Linked DNA regions of Yarrowia lipolytica. The protein of the gene in region 2 interacts with the protein of the main gene of each other region in a pairwise test. Links are inferred from orthologs where the notes say so. Each region holds a gene or a part of one and is shown on either strand. Other genes may lie near its edges. The genes, in order: YALI1_F06312g and YALI1_F35489g.

Evidence for each region.
Region 1: the proteins of YALI1_F35489g (region 2) and YALI1_F06312g interact in binary tests that used the Saccharomyces cerevisiae proteins (3 or more experiments, as listed by UniProt). The link is inferred for Yarrowia lipolytica from reciprocal best matches to the Saccharomyces cerevisiae genes ULA1 and UBA3.

Annotation. Positions count from the first base shown.
Region 1 is NC_090775.1:629,367-633,079, forward strand, and holds YALI1_F06312g (uncharacterized protein), read right to left. Parts: upstream 2,436-3,713; coding exon 2,365-2,435; intron 1,910-2,364; coding exon 679-1,909; downstream 1-678. Other genes in the region: YALI1_F06351g (uncharacterized protein), read right to left, coding at 3,106-3,713. UniProt on the Saccharomyces cerevisiae protein: Catalytic subunit of the dimeric UBA3-ULA1 E1 enzyme.
Region 2 is NC_090775.1:3,547,858-3,551,014, forward strand, and holds YALI1_F35489g (uncharacterized protein), read left to right. Parts: upstream 1-1,121; coding exon 1,122-2,636; downstream 2,637-3,157. Other genes in the region: YALI1_F35508g (uncharacterized protein), read left to right, coding at 2,963-3,157. UniProt on the Saccharomyces cerevisiae protein: Regulatory subunit of the dimeric UBA3-ULA1 E1 enzyme.

The DNA.
Region 1 (3,713 bases), about 2.9 Mb from region 2:
TACAGTACTGACTGCGATACTGACTATGGTGCTGGAAGGAAGCTTGAGCTCTCGTCAGGTGCTACTGTCAGACAGTCCACGACCTCGCATTTCTCCTCCACACTGCCGGTGGGCTTGCCATTATCACCGCGCACTTGGTGCTGCCCATTGGCGACGCTTCCCGGAGAGCCGACTTGATCTTCCGGGCGTTAGTGTGGCCGACATTCTTCGCAGCTCACTCCTCTGAAGCTGCTCTTGTGAGTCTCTGTGCACAGCTCCATGAGGAGGATGCTATCCGCGGCTCGTGTATTCTCCTCATGGACACCATGGATGCGGTCAATGTCTGTCTCGATTGTTTGTTGCAGCCCTGCTAAAAACCTCAGTCTACAATACGCACACACATGTGTCCCACGCGCACGACTGGTTTCTGACTACAAGTGCGTTCACACATTGCTACGGAAGATGATCCTATTAAATAAGTGATGCGGTTGGCGGAGTCAATTGGCGATACAACTGACGTATCGCCACCACCGACGGGGGTAATGCATTTGACGGTTGTATATCACCACTACCGACGACAGCTCGGGCATCTCGCAGAGCACCTCCAGCTCATTTCGTGTTTCGTTCGCACGACAGTACTAATATGCTTTCTCAACACCCATTAAAAAAGTTGAGCGGCTCGCGCTGCTCACCAACTCTTTATTCGACATCCACAACCAACCTTAGGCTAAACGGCAATGCCTCGTCAGTCACCGTCACCTCTTCCTCACCCACCAACTCTCCAACCAGCTTGACGAGATTCCCCCTGGTCATCTCCTCCAGCTCCTTGGGCGACGCCATGTATAGACTCTTGGAGGCCGTTCGCAGCGACGGGTTCTTGACCTTGGTGGCGGGATTCTCCTTGAGGCGCTCGATGAGGTTCTCCAGCGTCGTGCTCTTGGGCACGGCCAGCCGCAGCACCTGCACGCCACACACCGGGCAATCGGGCCGCTTCTGGTGCTGAAATGTGTACGTGTACACGGAGTTGTTGCCCGAGTACATCATGTAGTTGTTGAGGAACGGTACGCACGTGGTGGCGACCTTGAACGCCTCGTTGCAGCTGGAGGCCGCAATGATGGCGTTGGTGGATGCAATGGCCGGAATGATGTTTTTGATCACGCCCTGGGTGAGCTGGTAGGTGACTCCTTCGATGCCAAATTGCTCCGCCCGCGCGCGCGCCTGCTCGAAGATCCACGTCACGTCCTCGACGTCATCGTTGTCGGCCTTGCGGTCAAAGTGTTTAGGCCACTCGAGCACGCTGGCCCATTCGATGCAGTGCTCCGGGAGCCTGGGGGTGTTTGCGATGGTGCACATGGGAAACGTGGTTTGGGGCGTCAGCATGTCCAGCGAGCACTCGTAGCAGGAGGTGATGGTGGGCAGAATGACTCGCGACTGGCCCTTGAAGCCTTCGGTACCACCGTCGATCAGCGGCTTGAGGGTCTCAGGAGAGTCGCCCACCAGCCCCACGAGCGTGGCGTTGATCCAGCGCCGCGCCTCGATGGAGTCCAGGCCGCAGACAACGAGGGTGAACTGCATGTAGAAGTCGTTGTCAAAGTCCTGGATTTTGCCAAAGTGCGGCGTCACGTGCACGCCGGCGACTCGGCGGTTGATGAACTCTGCGGCGACCTCCGACTTTGGCTTGCCCACGTCCGACGGCCGGAACAGGAACTGCCGGTTCAGATTGCTGATGTCGATGGTGTCCATGTCGATCACGTGGATCTTTTTAAACCCAGAGAGGGCGAGGTTTTTGAGAATCTCGCAGCCGAGACCGCCAGCGCCAATCACGAGGATGGACATGTCTGCCAGCGCGGTGATCACGTCCGGCGACGGCGCAAACTCCTCGTCCGAGAACGGGCCGGACGTTGTGAGAACGGGAGAGATGGAGTATGGGCTGTGTTAGCAAGGGAGTCAGGGTACAGACAACGAGGCGAGCAACATAGGTCTGGGAATGGTGCACAACATGCCAAGTCATACGTCGTCACGACTAGCACAGACAATATGATAACGTCATGCCCCACATCGCCACCCCAAGCCGTAACTATGGAAATGACAGAGCACCAGCGATACCATTGTCACGTGACCAGATATATCGCCGTGGACGTGTGTGTATGTGTGTGTGTGTGTGTGTGTGACAATTGCTCGCTGTTTGTGGCACACAATACACTTGGGTCCTGGATCCTGGCTGGCTTCCGGTCTGTCAAAGTCGTGGGGTCGCGGGGCCGCGGAGTCGCGGGAGTTTCTGGACCACGGGACTTGCTGGATCACGTGACCTTGTCATGTCGCACATGTTTGTGTATCATTCGCGGTTACATGACCTCGTCTCAGTGTGTCTTTGCTCATACTCACTTTCTCACGGCAGTCATTGTTGAGAATAAGTTAGGGAGACTGGTCCAGATCTGATCATGCAGCTCATGCATTCTACATGTGGGGTTGTGGGGGATGTGTGTTCGATTCTGGGTTGTGTATTAGGGAATTAAAATATTAGAAAAATGATAAGAAATATAGAAATATAAATATAGAAATATAGAAATATAAATATAGAAAAATAATAAAATAAAAATAGAAATATAAAAATATTAAAAAAATAGAAATATAAAAATATAGAAATATAGAAATATAGAAATAAAATAAAAAATAGAAATAGAAAAAATAGAAATAGAAAAAATAGAAATATAAAAAATAGAAATATAAAAAAAAACAGAAATATAAAAAAAGAGAAATGTAAAAAAATAGAAATATAAAAAAAAAAACAAAAAAAAAGATTGAAAGAAAAAAAGGGTATTGATAGCTTGTAGATACGGACTCGAGGAAAATGTCTATCAGTTTTAGTCACACAAAAATCACGTGACACGCTAATTAAATAGATCTTGTCATCGTTCGTGGTTACATGATTCCTGTTGCACTACCGACTTATCGTGTCGTCCCCATTACCGCCAACATGTGTCGAAAATACGTCCATGTGGTGCCAACTACAAAGGCCACATCCCAATGCCATGCCTCTACAAAGACCCAACAATGTCGCCAATGTCATTTCCCCCGACGCTGGTCATACACAAATAATCAATCACATACATAATCCTTCGCTCGCTACTCTTCCACAGGAGAAGGCTCCACGTTCCAAATTCCCTCGGCATAGTCTCGAATGGCTCGGTCGGAGCTGAAGAAACCCATTCGAGACACGCTGACAATGCTCTTTCGAGCCCACTCCTTGGTGTCCTTAAAGTCGTGGTTGATGGTATGTTGGGCCTCGAGATAGGCGTCAAAGTCGTCAGAAACCAGGTAGTAGTCCCCACCGTACTTGATGGAATGGAGCAATGAGGTGTAGATCTCGGGGTCGCCCAGAGCGCCGGACTGGATGAAATCAAACACCTGCTGCAACTTCTTGCCCACCTGGACTCCGCCATATTTGTGCTTGTGACGAATGTCCTCGACCTCGTCGGCGAGATGACCAAACAGGTAAATGTTGTCTTCACCAATCTCCCGGGTGATTTCGACGTTGGCGCCGTCGACCGTGCCGATGATGAGTCCACCATTGAGCACAAACTTCATGTTGGAGGTGCCGGAGGCCTCGGTACCGGCAGTGGAAATGTGCTCCGAAATGTCTGACGCCGGAATGATAATTTCGGCCTTGGACACGTTGTAGTCCTCGACAAACACCACCTTGAGCGAGTCGAACATGTCGGGGTCATTGTTGA
Region 2 (3,157 bases):
TTTTGTGAGCCTGGTGCGTGCAGTACTGTCCACCGCTTTACGAGTAGTCAAATGAACTTTATCTATTTTTCCAACTAAATGTCTGATAAATACACCAGAAATACTAGATACAATTGCAGTAGTTAACGAGCTACCATAAGTGGACAGCCACAACTTTCATCGTACGGGAACACACAAGAGGCACCCATAACATGGCATATTACAAAGATTTTCTTCTGGCCCACAATATGTTCAATGCTTACCAATACAGTACTAATACAGTACTTGTAGCTACTAAAACTACAATGCGAAACTACTGTATTCACCCTCACAGCTCTGGCCGGTCCACTACTTTTTTTTTTTTTTTTTCTGCATAAACATTCATTTTAATTATAACTTTGCTGTGTGAAAGAATAACCTTTGAAATGAATGTTACGCTTACACGAATAATTACTAATTAAACCACGTTTAGTGTCATGGTTCCAACTTGGGCACGTACCTATTTTCCAGTAAAAAAATCATAAAAAAACCTGGGTTCAGTCCGTGTGTTGTATGTTTGGTCCACATAGCTTCGCCGTGTTTTTGTTTCGTTCATCGGGAAAACGCCCACTCCAGGTCTCCAGTTCTCTTAATCTCAATCCTTCCATTCCCTCTTCGTTTGCATTGCCTTTTGAAAAACGTCTCCCTTGTGGTTCTTCTTTCGTCATTGGTTTGGTTCTGCGTTCCCCTGTGGTGACTACGCGCCCTGCTTACGCTGCTGTTCTCTCGGTGGCCTCGGGCCGCCTTTTACGCTTGCTACTTCTTATTGCCACCCTAACGATTAACCTACAAGTGCAGTATCACTGACTATCATTACCAGGGCTTTTACTGTTCACACCCACACTACAGTTCAGGTTATCCCCTCATATAGCTATACCCCTGACCTGTCAATAAACAACATGACCTATCGTTCCTATTTTAATAATACGTATGTCTTATTTCTATTTACAAAAAAAAAAAAGAATATAAAAAACTTATGCACAAGATGCACGCTTTCTCTCTCTCACACACACACTTGGTACTCCCGTTTGTTCACACTGTGCACGCAGCACAGAAGACACCACCCCACAAATACAGTTCATGTTAGCATCACCACCAAATAAATGCACCGTGACAAACGCCAGCGAATGTCGGACTCAATTCCCAGCCAAAAAGACCGCAAGTACGACCGTCAGCTACGACTATGGGCCGCATCGGGCCAACGTGCACTCGAAGATGCGTCCGTGTGTCTTCTGGGCTCGTCTCCAGTCGCCACGGAAACCATGAAGAACCTGATTCTGCCCAATGTCGGCTCCTACACCGTGGTGGACGGTGGCAATGTGACAGAGGACGATCTGTCGGCCAACTTCTTCTTCGATTCAGATTCAATTGGAAAAAGCAAGGCTCAAAGTGCCAGTCTGTTGCTTAACGAACTCAACAAAGACAGCACAGGCTCATATCTGGACCAGAAGCCCAGCAAAATCGTAGCATCCAACCTCTCCTACTTTGACCAGTTCAGCATTATCGTTGCCTCTGTTTCTTCTTTCGACAAGTACTCGGATCTCGAGGCCCTTTCGGAGTACCTCTACTCACACTACATCCCACTTGTGGTGATCTCTTCGGCGGGATTTTACGGCTACGTGCGAGTGGTAATGAAGGAGCTCCCCATCATTGATACACATCCGGACTCGCTGGTAGATTTGAGATTGGATAGCCCCTGGCCTGAGCTGATGGAGTACGTCAACAACTTCCCAGAGCCCGAAACGGCAGCAGCACGAGATCATGTCCCCATGATTGTTTTATTGCTCAAGACGGCTGATAAGTGGATCAAGGAACATGAGGGAGGTCTTCCCACTAAGCGAGACGAGAAACTGGCATTCAAAAAACAGGTGGAAGCATTACGTCAGGGAGACAGCGAAAACGTGGACGAAGCAGTGGCCGCAGTATGGAGACTGTACCAAAAGAGCAACCAGGTGCCATCACAGATCCGGGACCTTTTTAATTTATCTGCTGAAGACTCTACAGATAGAGATCCGACCTTCTGGACTCTGGTTGAAGCCCTCAAGGACTTTGTGGCTGAGACGGGTACTTTTCCCCTGTCCGGAACCGTCCCCGATTTCAAGGCATACACCAAAGACTACGTTGATATCCAGCGTGTGTATAAGGACAAGGCAAACAAAGACCTGTCCAGGTTCAAGGAGATTGTGGCTACAAAGGTGGTGGAAGTTCCTGAGACTGTGATTGAGGAGTTCAGCAAGAACTCTCGATTCATCCATCTAGCTCGAGGAACGTCTCTAACCCATGACATCAGTCCCGAGAGTCTAGCCCAGATCACTTCTGAGGATGATGATCTTCTGAAACTCTACTACGTCATTCGAGCCAGCCAGATGCTGGGGGGTAAACAGGACGCGTTTTCGATAATGACCAAGACTAACGAGCTGGGAGTTACTGCTGACGTAGTGGAATACTCTCAGGAGGTCGCTCGATACGAGGGCCGAGAGCTTCATAACATTTCTAGTGTTATTGGAGGGGTGGCGTCTCAGGAGATTGTCAAAATTCTGGCTAAGCAATATGTTCCGTTGAACAACACTGTGCTCTTCGACGGCATTGGCAGTAAGATGGAGAAGTGGTTGTTGTAGGTCTGCGACATATAGATTAATTGGATAGGGTGGGGGTATGTGGATCAATCTAGAAATGTACCTCATCAGGAGACCCTGGAATAGTCTGTTTCTACCAGCGACAAGATCAGACAGTTGATCATGGACTCTGCTGTCTCATATCATATTCCCGATACGGGCACCTTTGTATCACTCGAACAACAAAGAACTTGATTACACAGCAGAACGTGTGTATTAAATTTCCCCTCCCCTACCAGTGTAATCAGCAAACTGTGAACTGTGGATATGGCATCCGAGGTGCAGGATCTCACTCTTCAACCCGACCAGTAAAAAGCGGTTGCATTTCAATGGGGTTACGGAGCAGGTTATCGACGGCTTTATTGGACGTTGCACTCAAGGGTCTGCCAGATGGAGCATACCCTCCAAGCCAGCTATCCAAGGTGCGGAAGTACGAAAACTTCGACTCTAAAATTCCGTGCAAGGACGACGACGTGATCGAGATACATTCATTGATTTTGGCAAGCCAAATGGTCCTTCTTTCT